Mytilus edulis: one gene and its partner. The protein of the gene in region 2 purifies or fractionates together with the protein of the main gene of each other region. This does not show direct contact. Links are inferred from orthologs where the notes say so. Each region holds a gene or a part of one and is shown on either strand. Other genes may lie near its edges. The genes, in order: bone morphogenetic protein 7-like and activin receptor type-1-like.

Region 1 (12,376 bases), on a different chromosome or scaffold from region 2:
CGAATTGGCTAGGGCATAGACTTGGTAACCTTGTTTGCTGTTTATCCGTTGTATACGCAACATTAAGACATGTTAAGAAATACGAGTTAAAAACACTCGGCTTGGAGACAGGGTTATGTGTAAATGGGGTATACGCATGGACCTGCAGACTATAACCGTGTGATATAGTATGTTAGAAATCCGGTTAAGTGTGTCGGTCTTGTAAAACGCAGAGCTGATAACTACGTTCTTGTCCTGAAACGCATGTATAGGTCATTCGTCTCCACTCGGCCGATTCCGTACCCTCATCTAACGGAATGAAGGAGAGTAGCGGATTCTACCGATGATTGCCGAATGATGTATACTAAAGGTGTTGCCAATGTATACGTTCAATACAAGTTAAAATTTGGATCCTCAATGCTCTTCAACTTTGTACTTGTTTGGTTTTTATAACTATTTTGACATGAGCGTCACTGATGAGTGATCTTATGTAGACGAAACGCGCGTCCGGCGTACCCAATTATAATCCTGGTACCTTTGTTACCTATACTGTTTAAACATATGTTCCCCGAAACTTCTTCCATTGTCTGAGCAATAAAACCAATTTTAATTCGAGACTAGAAACTTTGATGAATTAATTGGTTTAATAGTTTTATGTTATTTGAAAAATCTCATACAACTATTTCATGTGTATTTAGTAATAATAAACATGTCTATGTCTACGTCTATGACAACTTCTATGTCATTTAAACTTTGGTGGAACGTTTTTTTTTTTTTTTTTTGGCAATCATAACACATCTTCTTATTTCTATTAAACTAAAATAACTTACTCGGGATCCGGTCCTTGTTTTATCATGTATATCTGAATCTGAAAATCATTACTTTTCCACTTTTTAGCTTTATCTTTAAAAAGCCTAAGTTCAGCTTTCACTACTTTTTCCTCAACTGTCACTTCACTAAAATCAAAGAAAAACGTCCGGTCTTTTTCGTGGCGTAAATGTGGAACTTTTTTGGCTGAAAAATAGAAAGTCGTTTATCATGATTATTGAATTAAATCAAATATTCTCGTAACTTTGTACGCTTAAACGTTTTGTTGTGTAGATTTTGTTTTTTAGCTTAACATTTTCTTTTTATTGGCTAATGGTTTGCCTTTCTTTGCATCTTAAAATGAATAATTTTAGACTAATCGACTAGTTTTGTAAAACAAAGATAAATATAAAATGGGGATACATTCCTATAGATTAGATGTTCGCTTTCATTAAACTGGTATATGGCGAAGGACATATGGGCTTTTCTTACGAAAGACCCCCATTCTTTCGATTGTATGTTAGAAAAATAAGGTACAGGTACATGTATGTTAAGATATGAGTTAGATTTCACTTTTCTGTCTATTTCTACTGTTCTTTTCTTTTGCCTATAGACTACATAGGGACACACGGTTCGACAATAACACTTAAAAGTAACAATGTTTAAGCATTCAAAAGGCGTATACTGAAATCTCATCAAAACGCAAGTACTTTTTTATGATGACCCGAGTGCATTTACTATGCAATAATATTTAATGAAATGCCAAAACTTCCAACAGAAAAGAGCTGCCAACATCTTTAACCCTATTTTATTAGTATTTAGTGCAAGATGAACACATGTAAAACCATCTGTAATTTAATTATACGTAGCCTATTAGAAGGATGTTTATTCAATATAGTAATTTACTGTTTCGGCCTTGAGCCAAAACGGAATTTTTAGACTAATGCTTCGGCATGTGATTGGGAATTCAAAATCTTGAAAAAGAAGGTATAAATAGTTTTTGAATTCTGAATACTTCATTGACTACACAAAATTAAGATCTTGATATAAAGTTTTTTTTTAATGTAGTATTGAATAAGTTTGAATCACGCCTAAAATCTTCATTTAGGCCAAAGCATAAAATTATGTTTAATGTGTCCTTAACTTTTCTGTATTGTCATACCTAACCTAACACATTTTGTAGACTATGGTGTAACACCAAAAACGTCTTGAACATTTACTTTTATCTCGGTGGCCGTGTGTATATATATATATATCAATTTGGCCTTAGTATATTTTTATTCCACGCAATCGAACGCTTGTGATGTGATAGGGATTGGATGGACAGATTAGTGTTTTGACGTCCTGTGGCAAATATATCATGTATTCTAGGATGTGACGAACCTATTTCTACTATACCGAACACGCTTATTAGGATTTAAACATGCTTGGTACATAAACGAAAACATGCCCCCACATACGATAGATGAATGGATTAGTACTTTGACGTTCAGTGGCAAATATTTCATGTATTTTAGAACGAGAACATGGTGTTATGATGTGAAAATTATCGAACCCTTTTGTACTCTACCAACACACTTCGTTGGATTTAAACATGTTTTACTTTTCTACATTGGCCGGAGGTACATCTGTATTCCGTATAGGGTGAGGGTTGAGATCTCATAAACATGTTAAACCCCGCCGCATTTTTACGCCTGTCCCAAGTCAGGAGCCTCTGGCCTTTGTAAGTCTTGTATTATTTTTAATTTTAGTTTCTTGTTTACAATTTGGAGTTAAATATGGCGTTCTTTATCACTGAACTAGTATATATATTTGTTTAGGGGTCAGTTGAAGGACGCCCTCGTGTGCGGGAATTTCTGGCTGCATTGAAGACCTGTTGGTGACCTTCTGCTGTTGTCTGTTCTATGGTCGGGTTGTTGTCTCTTTGACACATTCCCCTTTTCCATTCTCAGTTTTATTGTTAAATAAATAATAATAAAAAAACATACCCAGTCCCAATATCAGATGAGAGACAGGTGTCTTAGTGATTTAACATATATTTGATAAATGTACAATAGCCAGTGTCCATCCAGGAGAAGAGGGCATACACATAATTATTATGAAAATTATCATGGTATAAGATTTTTCAAAGCATATTATCGTCCATTCTTAATTACCCGTTTTTTTAGAATTTTTACAGAAAGCTTTTCAAAAATCACGGATCCGCCCCTGTTAGCCCATACACACGATTGGGAGATTTAGCAACGTTACAGCATTATGAAGACACACTCAATTGATTTAATGTGACTTTCACCATTCCCGCTACGTTTGAATAATACAGACCAAATCCGAGTTCAAGGAATAAACCATTGAACTCACTGCCCAGTGATCAACATTACAAAATAAACATTTGACCTTCAACTTATACTGTCTAGTGATCAACATTACAATATACTTGTATAAAAGTAACGACACAACAATTATCGGAAATATAAATTGAAATATTTCAGGACATTTCAATAAAATAAAAGTGTGGGTGAATTAAAAGAAATAGTTTATATCTAAAGTGGTTTGTACTGTTAGAAAGAAACCCATTGTACATGTTACAATTATACGTAATTTACTTGTAAGAAAGATATATTGACTAATTACTTTGTCGTTTTAATGGTCAAAACACCTGTGTTTTACAAAGGTAAAAATCAGTTGACATTTTAGGTTTGTCGTTTGTGAAAGGTACACCAATGAACGACATATACAAGTCTAATATAGGTAAAAAAAATAATCTTGTTTGAAATGTAAACCCTATAATCACGGTAATTATAGAAATTTTGTTGTCAATTTATTTTTGTTATCGTCGTGATGAACTGCGCAAACATACTATATTTAACGAATATATATATTAAAGAAAACATTTACAATGTCAGATCTATGAAAAACCAGCCCAGGGATTTCAACTCATATTAATAATAAAGAAATTAAAAGAAAAATTCTAGTACCATTAACTTTATAAGCCAAGTAAAGTTTTTTTTTAAGGTGATGAACATTGCACGAGGGTCTGTATGAGGGAAGATCATTACTGTGTATGAACATAAATTCAAGTGTTTTTCTATTTAATTAATATGTCTTTCCCGTTCTCTTTCCTTATACATGTTATATTTTACGCTCTTCATTATCATGATTATTCTCAATTCCGTATGTTTTGCCCTAATTTTCTTTCGCTATTTGTTTTCCTTAATTTTTCTGTAGATTTGCGAGTAATATTATTATTTACTTATTATTTCGTTGTATTTGTGGGCTGGTCAAATTGGTGATTATTTTTTTTCTCTCTCCATTAAATGAGGTCAACAAAATTAACACCGACAAATCATCATTATTGTTGTAATAAAGGGAAATTATTTCAAAAACACGGTTTGATTCTAAAATGCATGAAACACAGGTTATTTAAATACGAATTAAACCGATAATAGTATGAAAATCTTGAACTGAGAGCCCCCTTTTTTAACAGTCTAAAAAAAATATAAAAGAAAAATAAACATTTCTTCTAAACTTATTTATAAATACCACCTCTACAATATGTTTTACACGGAGAATGAATATGAAAAAGGGTTTTCTTTAAAAGGGGGGGGGGGGCGGTACATGTATTTATTTGTCCATTTCTTCTTTTTTAAAGTCTTATAACCATAGTGATAATAGTAATCTCAAATTGTATCTTAGAATACATTTACATAAACAAATAAGGACGGGATGTCTAGAAAATATATCTTAAATTTTGAAAACTCTTAACCCAAAAACAATGGCATGACAAAAAGGGAGACAATTCGCGCTCCCACATTCCCCCTTTTTCAGAAAAGGCATTTCACATTATTTATCTGTTTATACCTACCACGATTAACAAAACTCATGATAACGTCTGCACCTTGTATCGGTTCAATAATATCCCCAATAGATATATTCCCTGCTATTCTGAATGATGGCGTGTCATCTAATAAAATTCCATCCGCACCCGCAATAGTATTGTATAAATCTAACATAAAACGAGGCGCAGAATAGTCATTAGTATGCACCTTTGGCTTTGGTCGATGGTGTAATCCAAGCAGTGTCAAAATCTCTTGTTGGAGCTCTCGCTTACTCCTCGGGTTGATTTCATGTAATTTTTCCGTCTGATCCACACCATTGTCTATATAATATCCTGAAGACCAGCATACTATATCGTCTACACAACATATTAAAAGTACAACAACTATAGAAATGTGTAAGTTCACCACCATGTTAAATGTGTACCTATTTACCTGTACAGACATTCGCCCCATTCACGTTATTTACAAACATATACATTCTTTAGAACTTAGTCAGGTAAACACGTTGATTTAAGAACACATTTTAAATATAATCTCCATATGTATCCATTAATTATCAGATCGTAAGGATAAGTTTTAGAACTATATTCTCTCTATATTTCTCTAGCTATCCAAATGAAATCTATTTTTACCGCGTTAATTACGTTTTCTTTGTATTGAGTGGTTCCCCTGTCTGCACATAGGTTACACACATATAAACAGGTGAGATATACCGGTAAGTAATAAACAAATATCCCGACAGGTGCAGTATGGTTATTCATTTAACATACATCAAATATGTTAAAACTGTTTTAAAGTATTTGTTGATAGAAAGAAAAAAGAAAACTATTGAAGGGTGATATAACACCCCTCCCCTTTCCTCAGCCCCTTTCAATCTTATTTATTTTATTTTATTTATTTCAGTATACTTTAATTTACAGGTTAAATGAACTGATAACTGAAAAACAATACTTTTCATCGATATTTGATGACTTTGTAATTTCTTTTTTTTAAAGGCCGAATTAGACCTGCCACATGCACAAATTAAAATTAATGTAATATTTATTATCAAACCAGTTAAATTTTTACTCTATTTGCAATTCGATCAAACGTTGAAATTAATCTTCACTTATATAATTCAAATTTCAAAAATATATTGTTCAAAATATAATTCAGAAATGAAGGCAACTGCGGAAATGTCACGTATTGCCTGTTATAATAAAGTACGGGATTATCTATGAGCTTTAGAAAAAGGACGAAAACCGAGGCTCGCCGAGCTTTTTATATTCTACTGTTTGTAGCGAGTACAAATAAATTTGATATTTTTTGTCAATATATTGACTCTTCCCGTAAATTACACCAACACTTGAAATTCTAGTTTTCGAAAGAAAGCGACATCGTACATGTATAAACGCGGATCGCGAAGAGGGCCCCAAAATGAACTGTTACGCAAAGAAATATCCACGTTACCGCTTGCTCAACAGGAATAACAAGAGAATTTATTTCAAGTGTACAAGACAAAAATTGTATACCTGTTATTTGTACAATAGTTGGCTATTTGCCGCAGGATAAATGAATTGTCGAACCAAATTAAACAGTTACTGTAGTATAAAAGCCATCGTTCGTTAATTTGTACTTGAAATTTAGGTACTACAGATTCTTGGTTGCTATCGTTACATTTTCAGCATTTTGAAAGTTTTTCTATTTCAAATCTCTTAAAATTATGATTTTCAAACATGGAATATTGTATTATTTCTGTACCAAAATATTTAGTACAAATCAAGTACTGTAAAATACAAGTACCTAAATATTACAATTAGAGAAATAGTTCTAAATATTAAAAGTAAATTTCCAGTACCGAAATAGTACCTATGCAAAAGTAGCTGTGTATATTAAAAAAAAAAAGGAAATACAAATTTATTTGTTTTCTTGTTAAAAAAATTGTTGAAAAATCTACACTATCTCCCCTTATATCACAGTTTATCTTTCAATATTTATTTTAAGTTACATGTAAGTTCCGTGACATGATTTAAATGAAAAAGTTAACTACCAACGGTTAAGTAATTGGTGTCCAAGTTAGGCCCGAATAGTGGAACACAACCTCCTTATCCTAACTGTGCTAACCAATTCTCTCTCTTAACCCTTGTTGTCCTGTCCTATGATTAATTGTTATCTTATAGATATAGGAAGGTGTGGTATAGATCAAGGTACGGTCTTCAACACGGAGCCTATGTTCACACCGAACAGCAAGCTATAAAGGGCCCTACAAAATACTAGTAAAACCATTCAAATGGGAAAACTAACGGTCTTATGATATCTATAAAAAAAAAAACAAAAAAAAAACGGGAAACGAGAAACACATATAAACCACATAAACAAACGACAACCACTGAACATCAGATTCCTGACTTAGGACAGGTGCAAATAATTGCAGCGGGATTTAACGTTTTAATGGTACCAAACCTTCTCCCTTTTCTGAAACAGTAGTATAAAATCACATTATATTTATATTCGTGATCAGGTTGTTCCGTTACATACAGCCAAGACACCGCACTTACATGTACGTGTACTTTTGATGTACTAGATTTTTTTTGGTTAAACTACAAAGTCAGACGTATTTCAAAATACTAGAAATTAACTCAGCTCATTGATTAATCTAACCTGCAAAGTGCATTGATATATCTTATTTTATAACTGTCTTTTGATGTCTGAGGATGTGGGGATGTTTTGTTTTAATGCAATTAAGTAACCGCATAAACCCATGACGTAGTACGAATTATACGTCAATTATTCTGGTGATCTGTTGAATTAAATATTCTATTACAGTGTGTTTGACATGCATGTTTTTGTTACATCGACAAAGTTATGTAAATGCAATTAATAATTATATACAAACGTATTTGTTATCTTTAACTTAATCAACATGAAAAGGTAAATATATATAAGAATGCGAGGATTTTACATGTTTAAGTAAATATGTCAGTCTGAAAGAGGCGTTGCCACTTTCTCATTTGTCAATCCTCGTATACACGGTGGGTATGGTTGCCCTGCGAGAGAACGTTCTGTGCTGGTGATTCGGTCCTGACGGGTGCTGGTGATCAATGAAAAAATGTAAACAAAGACGAAAATGATGATTTTTGACGTTTTCACTCATAAAAAATGGAAGAAAACAGTTGAGACTTTTCAATTTTGTTTCTTATGGGTTCATATGTAAACCATTAAAAAGTTGACCCTCTAAACTGTTTCAGTAAGCGTAACACAAAAATGCTCATTTTCAGAAAATCTAGAACTGAAAAAATAAAACAAAAATGCTCATAGAGTCCGCTTTCTATACCGCAATCCACACGACAAAACTATTTTGTGAAAAACATTGCAATTTATTAAAATTTAGCATTTTCTCAATTTATTCATGTCCTGATACTGTGCTGGTGGGTCCTGTCATTGTGTTGGTGGGTCCTGATACGGTGCTGGTGATTTTGGATAAGAAGTTGGTCATATTTGAAACAAATGTTACAAAATCAATAAAATTGGGCAGATAATTGTTGTCAATAGGATCTATGACTCCTATTTTAGCTCTTGTGCATCCATTTGGCTGTTTAATATGTGTTTTCAAATGATCGTAACTAGTATTACATAATTACATAAAAGGGCAACATCTTTCGTCCAATAATGTTGAAGCATCAATGTAAGGGGCATTTAATATCTTAATAAAACTATTCTTATTTTAGATACTATATATTGTTATCTGATATTATATCAGATAACAATATATAGTATCTAAAATAAGAATAGTTTTAAGGGGCATTTAATATCTTAATAAAACTATTCTTATTTTAGATACTATATATTGTTATCTGATATTATATCAGATAACAATATATAGTATCTAAAATAAGAATAGTTTTATTAAGATAAGGCATTTAATATCTTAATAAAACTATTCTTATTTTAGATACTATATATTGTTATCTGATATTATATCAGATAACAATATATAGTATCTAAAATAAGAATAGTTTTATTAAGATATTAAATGCCCCTTACATTGATGCTTCAACAATTATCAAAGCATATGCCGCATAGACATGTTTGTTAGCGCTCCGCATATATTTATAGAAGAGCTGTAAATTCTAAAAAAAAAAAAAATCTTGTTGTCGTAGATGGTTAAAATGAATCCTCAACAAAATCTCAATAACTTTGTTGGAACGAATAAAGGCTTTAAATCAAATTTTTGTGGACTTTTTAGCTTTTACCCTGACGAGGCATGTTAGCTGTTCGTATGCTGTTGTACCTGACACACGGAAACTTTCACATTTCCATCTTCTTTTCTGAAATATTTTCCCCAGCTCATACTTGACAGGATTGTTATCATAGTAAAAGGTGAAACCAATAAATTGAACACAAGTTAAAAGTTCCACAATACTATATAATTCATTTTATGTGTCAATGGGCTCCTCACCCTGGTGACCCTGCTATCTTTCATAGCTCTATCCGTATACATATATTAATAGATACACAAATAGATACACAAAAGGCTGCAACTGGTATTTTTGTATTCAAAATGATTCGTTGTAACGAAATATTTGTGGTGAATGGAAACTGTGAGGGTCAAAATCTTAAATTGCTTATAAATGTTGCTGGACCCAGTTTCGTTATCTGATCTGAATTTTCTGAAATGTGCAAGGTAGATAGACCTTGGCCTTTTGATTTTTTGTTACTCGGTAGGTTTTGTCCTAATTGCTTGAACTTTTGCAATATTAAAGTCGATTTCAATGAGTGTGTAGACAAAGGGAATATCTTTAGTTATCTTGCTTGCTGAACAGAAAAGTCATTGTTGGGTTAAGTAAACTTTACGAGTAGACTAGTCCGACAAAGGACACATCTTTCTGTATGTAGGACCAGGCTACTTCGAAAGGAGGGTAGTATACCTTACTTAACAATGAATTCACGGTTTAGGTAACAAGCAAGCTAACCAAAGATATTACCTTTGCCTACATACTCAATGGAATCAGCTGTAAATAAAAACTCGAATACATTTTAATAGACATGCAGTGGTCATATTTGTTGATGAATATTGTTTTTCCTAGATTCACTCTTGAAAAATCATTTGGTAACATTTGGTCAAGTAATTTCAGAAAAGATCTTTTTGTAATTGCGGACGCCAAGACAATACACGAACCTCACACGACCCCTCGACACAGGTGAGCTTATATATGATCTTATAGCGATTCGGGTTGATAACCATTTGAAAGTAAGCCAGTTTTTTGTGTGTGTAGATTTGTATTGTTTTAAACTGTTATGACCTTTAAAAGTTAAATGTAGGTGTTTAATCTAAGAATTTCTTTTTTTTAAACTTATATACTTGTTTTATACTCAATTGGTAGTATGAAGCTACGAGATATTTGAAATATTTGAAATTGAAGGCACAATTAACAAAGCAAAGTAGTTTCAAATACTTTTAAATAGATCTTTATATGTACCCTTGTGTTGATCCCATGCTAAACATAACAAAAATCTCTGTACAAAGGTTATCTCGTCTTCATTCTCTGACATATTCTAGCCTGCCCTTTCATAAAATAGTGATTTTTTTTAGTGTTCTATCGAACTTTCGAAAAAAAATACCTTATAACCGTTCAGACAAAAAAATTATGTTGAAAAAATCTTACAGATACAGCAAGTGATTCTTAATAGCTATAAGATACATTTTTCTTTTAAAATACAACTTTTAAATCTTACGAGAAACTATTCCAAGCTTAAAACTTTCACTGTAACCTCGTTCTAACTTATCCCCCATCCCCTCCAAAAAAAAAAAAAAAAACCAAACAAACCCGCAATACTATTGTCATTCTTATAGTCAGCACTAAATTGTTCACAAAGAAATGTGTTTTAAGCTGCTAAAGACATATGATTCAAACGTTCAGAAAGTCCTTTGTTCTATATTTTTGCTCTCCATTTTTATGCAAAACCTTTTACATTTTTATTTTATGGGTTATTGTTGAAGGTCGTACGATGACGTATGGTTGTTAACACATACTTCCTTTGGTTTCTTATGGAAATTTGTCCATTGACAACAAACATACCACATCATCTACTTTATATAAGTATTGTATAAATTACAACGTATTTTGGTGATCTTGCAAAATGATCGTAATCCCGAAAATCGTAAACATATTTTCTTATCTTAAAAGGGGGCAAGAAGGGTTCCATTAACAGGCCAATATATAAGATTACAGTTAATTTAAAAAAAAATAAAAAAAATAGGGCTATTTTTTCTCTCTCATAATATTAACAGTAAACAGATTCACAACAATGTCAATTTCAAGAAAGCAGACAACAGTTAATTAGTCAATAACAGTATCAATGATCTTGAATATGTGCCATTTTTAACTAAAATATAAAGGCACAGAACCAGGACATAGAAGCACAGAACCAGGACCGTTTTTCTTATCACCAGCACAGCGTCAGGACAATTCCGTTTAAGGAACTTGCACGACTTTTGCAATATAATATTGTTGTAATATACTTTGCATGGTACTTATGACGAATCAGAGAAAAATTAAGCAACAAAACAGTCGTTTTATTGCCGTCCTGATACAATGTAAACAAACCCACCAGCACAGAATCAGGACCCACCAGCACCTGACAGGACCAAATCACCAGCACAGAACGTTCTCTCGCAGGACAACCATACCCACCGTGGTATAAATACGCTACTCTTCTTCACGGAATCTGCCGACTTGTGACGGAAGGCCACTGTCTGTTACTTTGTTTACTCGCATGCACGATGTATAAGCATGGATATTGAAAAAAATCTGTTACTTAAGGTATAGATCATCTAACATCTTTTTTCTTATTTTTCTAAGTAAGAAAAACTATAGTCATTATATACTGATTTATATAAACAATTCGACACACATACAATAAAGAGTAATGGTCATTACTTGACTGGATTTTATATTTACTTTTTTACACATTAAAGTATACACAAATAATTTTCAGCGACAGTGAGAAAATATTTTCGTTCAAACATTGAAAACAATTCATTGATTAAAGTCTGATATCGGAGATCAAAATTGAATGCACGGGTACACGGGAACTCGTACATCCCTAACAACTGGTGAAAATCGCTATATGCGATTCATATTTAGCAAACTGGACATGCTTAACGCTAATACTATAGAAATATTAAGAAATTTTCTTTTATAAAATGTGTTTTTAAATAGATATGTATGTTTCTTGCTCAATGTCTGTTTTGATCTTTTCAAATGATACTGTGTAACAAACCCACTATACGGTAATGTTTAACTCCATACGATTTGCTTTAAAGATTAAAAAAATCCTTTGCAACAGTTTTTCCAAAGAGTGTATATAAAATTAAAACATGTATATTTTACAGTTCACAGTCAAATAACCGTCAGTGGGTCTAATTGTTTCATGCAAATTAGATTACTTTAAAAATGGCATTTCTTTAATTTTGATAGCACACACTACATGTATTTCTGCTTCAATTTTTTTAAAATCATTACAAAATTTTAATGAAGTGACTACTTGGCATATTGTGCAGACAATTGTCTTTCTCTTTGAAGATTGCATTTGGGCATGAGTGTGCATGTTTTATTTTTGTGTCGTTGGGATGTTATATAAAAAGTAAAATCTCAAAAATACTGATCTCCGAGGAAAATTCAATCGGAAAGTCCCTAATCACATGGCAAAATCAAATAATAAAACACATCCAACCAATGGACAACAACTGTCATATTCCTGACTTGGAAAAT
Region 2 (12,207 bases):
AGGTTAACTTTAACATCTGTATGTATTTTGAAAATTTTAAAAAATTACCATGGGTAACAAAAGTTAGTTCAGCATTTCCAAAAAAAAAATCATTTGGCTCCTCTATAATATTGCATTCCAAATCATGTCTAAGAAAAAGTAACATGCACATGTACATATGAAACTACCCCTTTTTTACATTAAGTAAATATTTTCATAAAATTTTATATATATATATATATATATATATCTTGAATTTCTGGGATGGTACTTGACTGCATACAGTGGCGGATCCAGGGAGTTCCGGGGGATGGAACCCCCTTTTTCTTTTGGACGATCAATGCATTTGAATGGGGACATGTAGTTGGAACTCCCCCCCCCCTTTTTTGTCCTGGGTTAGGAACCAACCCCCTTTTTTTCAAATGGCTGGATCTGCCCCTGTCATATATAAGCATGTGTATCTAAAATTGATCAACTTTTAAAAAAAAATATTTTGCTCCACTCCAATATCTAATTCATTCTAAATCATGCCTTATGATGGTTAACATGTATATATACACATATAACTACCCATTTTTAACATAGAAAATAATGTTTCTTCAAATTATTTTACAATGCATCCTTATTTTCTGGACAGGCTGGATGTTACTTAAATGACCAGAAGTTGAAATAGAAAATGAACAAAGGTTAAATTTCAAGAGAAGAAAACGAGCTTCATAATCATCATTATATCATCATGATGATCATTAACTGTTCATTTCTCAACCTCTTAAACTAAAAAAATTAAATAGCTTCCTACAAAATTTTATCTGTTAAAATAAAGCTAATAAAATTCATTATTCTGTTGTAATCAGATTTTTCTAAATCATCATCATTATATTATTAACTGTTCATTTCTCAACCTCTCAAACTAAAAAATTTAAATAACTTCCTACACAATTTAATCTGTTAAAAAAAAGCTAATAAAATTCATTTTTCTGTTGTAATCAGATTAGTACTGCATGGACGAAAAAGAAAGAAAAACACGACGTTTCTGCTTCTTTCGTCTTTATGTCAACGTGGTACACCATACGAGGTACATTTTATGGCGAAGATTTTACAAGCAGAGATCAGTAGCGCTGAATATAGATGTCAATTCAATTGGTACTGTATTGAAACTCTCACCAGGTGTCCTAATATAATTCATAGTAAAAATCGCGTGAAAATCACGCCTCTAAAAATTAATTACATTACTGGGGGATTTATTGAATAAACACAAATAAATGAAAATTTCTTTCACTAATGCATACTAGGATAAAAAAAGGTTTACTTCATTATACTTTCTCAGGTGCAGTGACGTTCAAAAATAAATTTATCCAACAACCTACCACCTTTCTGTTGCCAGCTTTTTAAATTACGATATATAAAATAAAAGAATAGTATCATGAACACAAAATGTATATCATGTATATATGTAGGTAGATTAGAATGAAGAGTCTCAGTGTAATTAAATTTATGTTTAACCAGGGACGAAGCATAAATCTTTACCATTAAAATAAAAGAAATGTATATAAATGCATGTTGTATGTGCTGTTCCTTTGCTTTGTGTGTGCATATTCATGATATTTTTTACGGTGCATTTTACATTGTCATTTCGGGCATTTTATAGCTGACTTATGGGGTATGGACTTTGCTCATTGTTGAAGGCCTTACAGTGACCTTTAGTTGTTAATTTGTGTCATTTTGGTCTCTTGTGGACAGTTTTTTCATTAGCAATCATACCACATCTTCTTTCTTATATGTGTATTTTTGTACTGATCTTGTGTGACAGTGTCATTGATGGGTACCCCATATTTGTGTTTCTTTTACATCATGGATCCAGGACTTTTAAATGGGGGGCCACTGACTGACCTAAAGGGGGGCCAGTTCCCATCATTCTTCAGTGATTCTCTATATAATCAACCAAATTTTCCCCACCAAAGGGCCTTTGAAATTTTTAACAAGCTTAAGCTTATTTACAAGAACATTTTTGAAATTTTGGAATACATAAAATTGAGAATTGAAATGGGGAATGTGTCAAAGAGACAACAACCCGAACATAGAGCAGACAACAGCCGAAGGCTACCAATGGGTCTTCAACACAGCAAGAAACTTCCACAACCGGAGGAGTCCTTCAGTTGGCCCCTAAACAAATATATATACTAGTTCAGTGATAATGGACGTCATAATAAACTCTGAATTATACACAAAAAAACTGAAATTAAAAATCCTACAAGACTAACAAAGGCCAGAGGCTCTTGACTTGCAATAACTGTTACTGCATCAGTCAGATGAGATTATTTCTTCTTATTCCTGTTATTTTCTCAATCTGATCCTTTAGAGACCCTCTAGATCTTTAGTCATTATACATTGTACATTGTATGTATGCCAACTAGCTATGCATGCAATATAACTGTATGATACATGTTGTGTCCTTATGAATATGGGTAACACACCAAATAATCCAAGTCTAGTAATTACCAACTTTGCAAAAATGTCATACATCGTCATGATCTGTCATAGGTCTTCTTGTAAAAAAAACCTCATTTAAACAACTAATTTAAAAAGCAAAATAATAACTTGTTGTTTAAGATATTGGTTAAACATGTAAAAAATGCAAGATTTTTTATTCAATTTCAATTTTATATACATGTAGCATAATTCAAATCAACTGTTTCCAAAATTATATAAATTCAATAGGGGGAGATCACTCAGATAATTTCATTTATTGAAAGCTTGTTTTTAGCTACAGATTGTGAAAATTCACATTTTTCGTAACAATTTAACAGGTAATTTAAAGAGCATTCTACAGAAAAATAGATTTAGAAATTATAAATATAACGACAAAATTTAAAATAAATTACAAAGTGCTGAATATAGCTTCAAAAAAATGCATTCAAAAAGTCAAATTATCTGAGTTATCTCCCCTTATCAGATTTAATACATTACAAGTGTACACAAAAGCAGGGTTCTCATTATGGATTTTAGAAGGCGAGTCCAGGGACTCGTCATTTTTGGCCATGGTGAGTCCAACAGCAAGGAGAAGATATTTTATTGCAATATAATGTAATATTTAAGTCTCATGGTCTAACAGAGCAATGAAATGACATTAAATTCAGATTACTTTTAAACTTTTGCTATAAACTGATGATATTTGTATTTAACTGTGTTTAGTTTATACAAAATATTTCTATCTTGATGCATCTGTGGACTCACTAGTTTTGAAAATGATGAGTCCAGAGAGATTTTGATGAGTCCAGGACTCATGGACTCGCCTTAGTGAGAACCCTGCACAAAAGTGACATGAATTAAATTTTTTTAATCAATCAAACATATTTTGCACATGAAAAAAATGTCTCAAAAATCTGATAATTTAATATATGCAATAAAAAAACTTCGTCTTGATCAGGTTGATAGTTATCTGCTTTTTCACGGTCCAACATTGGGAAAGACTCCAATCTACACTGGTAGAGTAGTACAGGATATTTATGAAGCTAAGCTAAAATTCTGTAAAATATTCCGTGCTTGTACCTGTGCCTCCACCAGTGCATGCATAAAATGATACAAGATTTCATTTAACAGGTAGGGGACACCCCACCAAATGGTAATGGGGAACTATTCCCCAAATGAGTAATAATCCCGCATTTGTGTATTCATTTGATAGTGCTAAAAACTTAGTTTTCATAGGCTTATAACTTCTCAGTAATTCAAGATAATGGATTCATTTATTGGAAATTTTGCTAAATTTTTCACAATTCTATGTCATAGTACATGTAGTACACATGGTATAACATGTTTATAGGAAAAAGACTCAGCTGACAAATGTTATACATGTAGTATAAAAATGTTCTTCAAAAGTTCAGACGAAAAAAATCTAATTGGTAATTTCCGACAATTTTTACATTTCCATATTTAGATATTTTTTCACTGAAGTCAGTGAAGAAAAAAATGACCCATTTGTTTATTATTGTGTAAAGGTGCCATGAAGTCTGGGGTCTATCACAGACAAACTGTAAAGTTTTAACATCCATAATCCCTTACTTCCAATAACTGGACAGTCACACAGATGCAACAGAATTTAATTTTGATAATGAATGTGTTATACACATTGTGTAGATTACATACACAATGTACCTTGTAAGACTACCTCAGTGTCACTTTGTTTACAAACAATGAAACGGGAAAGATGGTATGTACTTATCGATTCAGCGCCATTAAAGACAATATTTTAGCTATAGAAAATTATAACCAATTGTTCCCTTCTATAAAAACTTACCACAAATGAGAGTAAACACAGAGAAGGCCACTAAAATTTCTATTTTCCACATGATGATCACCGTAACTTCGCCATGACAGGTCTATGTTCCAGATGAGTGATTTTCATGGTTTTTGTACATTAGATTTAACCAAGCACCAACACGTAAGCATCTTTAAATACAGACGAAAAAGGTCCGTTTTCCCAATAATATTTTCAGCTCGGGTTTCAGATTACTACTGACAAGGACGTATAACTAACATATACGTCCTTGCTACTGATGACATTAATAAAAATTATTGACAACACAAACATTGTTTGGATTAGACATTTATAAAAATACGAATGTTCACCAAAATCTAGACAAAATAAAGAGAAAGACAGTTCCTAATGTAATTCAACAGTATTGTACCGGGGGTATATTAACTCGAATAATTCAAGCCCTTTCCGTGTCCGATTTTCTCCCACACGAGGTTAATATAGCCTTCGTAGATCAGCGGAATATAACGACTGAATTATTCGGGTTAGTGGTATATCCAGAGCCATTTACGTATACTTTCTCTAGGATATAAAATCCAGGCTAGAACGAACGTTTGCCAATTGATTAAATCTTTTAGACAGTTAGTGCTGTATTTTAATGGACACCTATGTATTATATTGTGCTGTCTTGCAGGAGTCTTTTAAAGTTTTTTTTATTTATTATATATTATAATGGGTTAAATATATTTCGCAAAACTGATAGGCATTGAAATTTTTAATTAACGCTAAAATGGGTTAAAGTTCTGGCGCTATTTAAAATGGGTTCTACTTTGGTGCTAAAACGTCAAATATTTTCGCTAATATGTCCTATCAATGCGCTAAAATGTCCTCCGCCGAATTAAATGATAAGCAGCTACATTTTTTTTAATTGTATGTTATTTGCACAGCAGTTATTGACGATAATCTTAATCAACGTGATGTAATTTTAAAATCTGAGACGTTTAGTTAGAATAATAGTCTAAGTTATAATCAATTAGCGAGAGAAATAATATGTCCTTAATTAAAATTTATTCTTGAAAGCTCCAATACTATGGCATAAGTTCAGAAACTAAAGGCATATGGCCGATAATATGTTCATTGTATTTTTGAAGAAATAGATAATTTTATGAAGTGTAGCTTTAGGAATTTTTGATAAAATGATCCATATTTTACACAACAAAAAGTGCAACGCAGTTTTACGTACGTGTTTAAAAAAAAAAACAGTGATCGTTTTTGTTCCGGAACTATTTTCCTTGACTCCATCCGAGGAAAATTCTAAACGGAAAGTCCCTAATCAAATGGCAAAATCAAAAGCTCAAACACATCAAACGAATGCATGGATAACAACCGTCTTATTCCTGGTTTTGTACAGGCATTTTCTTATGTAGAAAATGGTGGATTGAACCTGGTTTTATACCTATAGCTAAAACTCTCACAAGTTTGTATGACAGTCGCATCAAATCCCATTATATTGACAACGATGCTTGAACAAAACAAATAATAAGTAAAAATGTCAAATATACAGCAATCAACATTAACTTAAAGTTATAATCTTAACACCAAAAAATATTAGCAAAAATTAAAGACAAGAATACACAAATTTGCCACTTTACAATAACACAATGCACAAAGCAAAAATGAAAGACAACCAACAAACACGTTTTACCGTGATTAGCACAATAACGGGACGTATATTATAAGCAGTTAACTGACATGCCAGCTCCAGACCTCAATTAAACTGATTGAAAGATTATGTCTTCATCATATGAATATCAGGTACAATCCCTCCCGTTAGGGGTTTAGTATCATACTATCATAAAATATATGAGAAGAACATAACCCGTGTCATGCCAACAACTGTTTTTTTTTTTTTTAGAAATAAATGTGTTTAGTTCCGATGCAAAGACCCTATCAGTGAATCAATGTTAAAGCCAGAATATGCAATCTTTAATGACCTGACAACAGTATCGTAACTATATCCCCTTTTAATAAGTCTATTTAAAGGTTTTGTTAGTTTCTGAGGAGAATACTGACATTTTTGTGCTTTATAAAGAATATTTCCATAAAATTTTGGATGTGAAATACCTGAACGTATAAGATGTCTGCATGTTGAGTTATATTTACGAATTATTTCCTTATACCGGTGATAAAATTTAGTAAATGTTTTGACCAGTTTGTGATATCGAAAACCCTGGTGTAATAATTTTTCAGTAATACATAAATTTCTCTCGCTAAAATCTAATACATTGTTACATACACGAGCGAATCGTACAAGTTGAGATATATAAACACCATAAGATGGTGACAAGGGAACGTCACCATCTAAAAATGGATAATTAACAATAGGAAATGAAAAATCATCTCTTTTATCATAAATTTTTGTAGTAAGCTTCCCGTTTATGATATAGATATCAAGATCGAGGAAAGGGCAGTGGTCATTGTTATCATTAGCTTTATTTAAAGTAAGTTCTACAGGATAAATTTCTTTAGTATACATACTGAAGTCGTCATTATTTAGAGCCAATATATCATCCAAATATCTAAAAGTATTGTTAAATTTTTGTATCAAATGTTGTTTTGATGGGTCTTTGCTAATTTTAGTCATAAATTGTAACTCATAACAATACAAAAACAGGTCCGCAATAAGTGGTGCACAGTTTAATATAATCCGATATCAGACAAGAAATTTTACATGCGTAGACTAGTATGCTCTATATATATATATATCTGGTCACGAAGTGTGTACATAAAGTACAATGAAACTGAAGAGTGAAAATGAATTCTTTATTAAATATTTAATTCTTTAGTACGGTCACTGTGCTAGTAACATATATACTGCTCATCCAAGTGTTCCTAAGTTTCCCAAGTTATCGTATCTGAAATAGAAATAGCTATTAATTGATATTTTATAATGTGCTGATCTTTTTTGTGATGTTACACTATTATTGTTTCAAATAAAAGTAAAGGTTTGGTACCATTAAAACGTTTAAACCCGTTTCAATTGTTTGCACCTGTCCTAAGTCAGAAATATGATGTTCAATAATTGTAGTTTGTTGATGGGGTTTATGAATGTTTCTCGTTTCTGTTAATTTATATATATCAATCTTATTAAAAACCGATCTCTCATCGCTCCCGTTTTCTGATATGTCGCGTGGGAGATCTAACGAAACCCGCTTTGAGGTCACATGTGAGTGACCTCGTAGGTGTGTCTTTTTCGGCCAATGAAATTGAGTCTTCCACGATCTTGAAAGGTTATCGTAAGGTAAAGGGATGTAACTCATTTTATTTACGACGAAATTGTCAGTCAAAATAATTCATAAACTTTTTTGATTGGCTTATTAATAGGTCGTCAACTCATTTGCATATCGTTATAAATTCATAGCTTCCAGTTCACTCACATGTGACAAAAAATCAACACAATTATTTGTACACTTTAATTTAAACTGTAATTGTACTGCTCCTCGGGGCGTCTTGATTGACAAATAAAAATTGTTGTTGTTGTTGTTGTTGTTACCTCAAAGCAGGTTTCGTTAGATCTCCCACGCGACATATCAGAAAACGGGAGCGATGAGAGATCGGTTTTTAATTAGATTGTATATATATATAAATAAGACCGTTGGTTATCCCGTTTGAATGGTTTTACATTAGTATATTTTTTGGGGCCCTTTCAGTATAGCTTACTGTTCGGTGTCCGTGTTGAAGAGCATATTTTGACCTATAATGGTTTACTTTTATAAATTGTGACTTGGATGGAGAGTTGTTTCATTGACACTCATATCTCATCTTTCTATATCTATTTGTCAGTCGTGTGTTTTTTTAATTTTAGTTCATTGTGTGACGTTCATTTTCATGAACTTTTATTTAGGAGCTAGCAAGCTGAGGCATTCACGCGCGGGTGCGGAATTTTCTCGCTGCGTTGAAGACCCATTGGTATATATAGCCTTCGGCTGTTGTCTGCTCTTTAGTCGGGTTGTTGTCTCTTTGACACATTCCCCATTTCCATTCTCAATTTTAGTAAGTAGAAATATTTCAGTTTACTTATATTGTATCATTAATATGTTGTATGTAAAAACTCAGTTTTCATATTCATTTGTTTTATTGCGATATAATTTAATTTTGGAAGTAACGCGTCTTCTGATTGGCTGACGTTATTTTGTTATCAGCTCATGGCATAATTTAGTCATGTGACTTCATCAATGTTTTTTCATGCTTTTCTACGGTTTAAAATGGAATTTAGAATTAAATTATAAGAAATGACTGTAATATTTTTTCTGTCTATTCGAAATAACATAAAAATGTGGTGCACACTGTTAAATAGCCCGCTACGCTCGTATTATTACAGTCATTCCTTAAGTAATTGTTTGCTGTTCCTACGATTTTTTTAAAAATTCTATTGGTGTTTTTTTTTCCCCAATCAAATTTATCAAATTTCAATTTATCAACAACTCGAATAATTCTTTCCTCTCCAACGCCCAGTCATGATCCTTTTGATATTGTAAGTGAGATAGTTATATCATGAACGATAGGGTTATTTGGTTTACATATAACCATTAGAATTTATTCAATAGATATAGGAAGATATGGTGTGAGTGCCAATGAGACAACTCTCCATCCAAATAACTTGGCTCACACCGAACAACAAGCTATAAAGAGCCCCAAAATTACTAGTGTAAAACCATTCAAACGGGAAAACCAACGGTCTAATCTATACAAAATAAAAAAAATGAGAAACGAGAAACACGTATAAATTACATAAACAAACGACAACTACTGTACATCAGATTCCTGACTTAGGACAGGTGCAAACATTTGCAGCGGGATTAAACGTTTTAATGGATCCAAATCTTCTCCCTTTTTTCTGAAACAATAGCATAACATCCCAACATAGAAAAACGCACGGTAAAATATCAATTGGCAGGCTTAACTCAATCAAAAAACGTACATTAATACACTATTAACGAATAAATTTGATCTGCGATATCTGAATGCAAATGCACAGTTAATAAAATATTAGGGACAAAAATTCAAGGTAAAAAAACAAACAAACAAGTCCAAACAAAGCCATGGCAAGTCACCACTGCGAAATATTTAACCCTTCGAAAATATTCACTTTAGAAAAAAAACCAGTTTTAAAAATATACAGGTAAATCTTGAAGTTTATACAAATGTAGTAAGAAGAAGTGAAAGTCTGCTTTTTCGATTTTGAAAAAAAAGAAAACATACATGTAGCATCACATCTTTGTTGAAGCTAGACCGTAAACAATGGATTACAGTTACATCCATTTGTATCATTTGGTCTCTGTTGTCTTAATAGCCAACATGCATAACAAACACTCCTTAATTTTCAAATTTCTTTTTTCCCGGTATGTTAACCTCCATCTGATGATTGATTGATTGATTGATTAATAAAATGGCTTACGCATGTTTCAAACAGTAATCCCGACAGTCTGTATAGATTTGTGATTCAAAAGAAACTGAACTACCGCCTGTCTTGTCATGAATGCATTTCATCTCACAAGCTATCGTTGGTGTGATTAGTTGAGCATACGTAGAACCTGAAATAAGGCATACGATTAGGCCACACGGCAAATTATCCGGTGTTTTTTTTCTAAACTCCTTTTTTTTTCTTGAATGTCTTGAAACATTTTTTCCAATCCCAATTTCTTAAGGCATTTACCCCATGAACCTATATCGTAGGTTCTGTTTGACACGTAATTTCATGACATACACTGACATATACTACTTGATATAGCAATAAATCGGTCGGAGTAAAACTGACGAATTATTTTCGAAATTGCAGTTAAAAAAAAAAGAAAATGTTAGTGGTAAGTAAAAGACGGATGCACTGTAGACAAGCTTAATAATCGCACACGGTTACAAATGAAAAGTGGCAAATTTGGATCTTTTATCTGTGAAGCACTTTAAAAGATATTTTTGTATTAAAATATATCTAGTTTTCTTTTTTACTCGTTTGTGTTGTAGGGTTGCTGTTTCTCAGACTTTTGTCTCAGGTCTCCTTTCATTGATATGTAAAATAAAACATTTATAATAAAAATGTGTATAGCCTACATATCCAATTTTGGCTTTAAAAAATTAAATGTAATAATTAAAAAAAAGTTGAATAAAATTTTAAAGATTCTATTTCCCTGTAAAAACATCGGTATGTGTCTCCTAAGTGAAAAATAAACTTGTATATTTTTCATGGGCAATAATAGAATTGGCAAAACTATTTCAATGGTCTTTTTAAACTCGGCGTAAACGGTTGTTGAATATCGCAGGTAGTGAAAAAACTAAAATGCTTTTATATGAGATAAAGTTATGAGTTTCTTAATACAGGTTAAAAATGTCAATTACCTGCCAGGTAAACAAACACTAAGAAAACTACGCAGAAAGGAACCTTCATTGTTTCACTGAAGTTAGAATAAAATGGAGGACAAGAACGGCCCTTATCAACTATTTATCTATCATATATGTGATGGTCTGGAGGGGTTTACAGAAAAGTGAATAATGGGCAAAATGTACAGAATAATTGGCATAAATCAATAAAGATAAGAGAAAGGTGGACCAAAATTATAAAAGAAGAAAAGTGATAGGTTGCTAACCCCCCCAAAAAAAAATGAAAAAATAATGGACCAAAATATGTAAAAATAGAAAACAAAATGGCTGCATGCAAATTTACAGAATCCAGAAATGAAGACCCTCATAACAATGTATAGAACAGATAAAGAAAAAGCACGACTTGTAAATCTGATGTCACTGGCTCATGTGGTTATCGCTGCATCTCAAAGTGTTGATCATTGATAAAGCAGATTACCGTTTAAAATATGTGGAAGTACAACTGTAAAACGTAGAAATTCCACGGACATCATGTGGATGATTAAAACCAAAGCACAAAGTAAACACCAACCATTAAGGTCATGCTTTAGTATTACAGCCGATTTCATTATGTGTGTAGGTAAAGGTCATATCTTCGGTTAGGGAGCTACCATTTGATTTTTATGGGGGGGGGCTAGGATGAAAAATTTTGTCCTGCATTTTTTTTTAGCTGTAATCTCTGTCCTGCCTTTTTATTTTTCACTCTGTTCGGTCCTGCCTTTTTTTTTTTAGTTTATCCTGACTTTTTTTTACCTAAATTGTCGTCCTGACTTTTTTTTTTGCAAGTGTCTCATCCTGCCTTTTTTTTTAACTCAAAACTCCTGTCCTGCCTATTTTTTTCAAATTTCATCCTAGCCCCCCCCCCCCCTCCATAAAAATCAAATGGTAACTCCCTTATATAGCTTCAACTTGTTAGATGAACAGTGAAGTCATTATAGGTAAGGTAAACTATCCTCCTTTACGAGTAGACTAGCCCAACAGATAACCAATCTATATGTCTGTAAGACTAGACTACTTCGAAAGGAGGGTAGTGTATCAAACCTAATAATGACTTCGTGGTTCAGTTAACAAACAAGCTAACCAAAGATTCTACCTTTACCTACAGACTCAAGGCATTCTGCTGTAGTATTTAACAAATTGATTGATTGAGTGTTGCTCCCTTAAAGTCCAGTGGAAAATAGTTAATGTATATTCAACACAGAAGAAATAACAATGAATACAAAAGAAAAGTTTTTAAATAAATGTCGAAAGGGATTGGGATTGGACATGTTTACATCCATTGAAACAATAAATGTTACGTATGATTGAGTCGACATATTTTGCATTGCGACAGGATCATAGGGATCTTAAAAATGTTGCATGCAGTGGGTCTTTACCATAAAAACAGCTTGGTATCGGTCGTACTAAGAGAAGAATATGCTGTATAGTTTAACATATCGGTCGAACGCAGCTGCGTTTATGTACACACCGCAATAGCAAACAGACGTATGCACTTGTTAAGCTAGGTTTACTGCTGCCTCGACAATATAGAAGTTCAAATTACTATTTTTTATACAATTACC

What was found.
Region 1: the proteins of activin receptor type-1-like (region 2) and bone morphogenetic protein 7-like purify together in Drosophila melanogaster (affinity purification with western blotting, with the first as the bait; 3 studies listed by BioGRID). This does not show direct contact. The link is inferred for Mytilus edulis from reciprocal best matches to the Drosophila melanogaster genes sax and gbb.

What each region holds. Positions count from the first base shown.
Region 1 is NC_092355.1:13,258,974-13,271,349, forward strand, and holds the start of bone morphogenetic protein 7-like, read right to left. Parts: upstream 5,298-12,376; 5' UTR 5,076-5,297; coding exon 4,649-5,075; intron 994-4,648; coding exon 810-993; intron 1-809. UniProt on the Drosophila melanogaster protein: Required for the growth of imaginal tissues and for patterning of the adult wing.
Region 2 is NC_092357.1:58,499,109-58,511,315, forward strand, and holds the start of activin receptor type-1-like, read right to left. Parts: upstream 4,396-12,207; 5' UTR 4,326-4,395; coding exon 4,274-4,325; intron 1-4,273.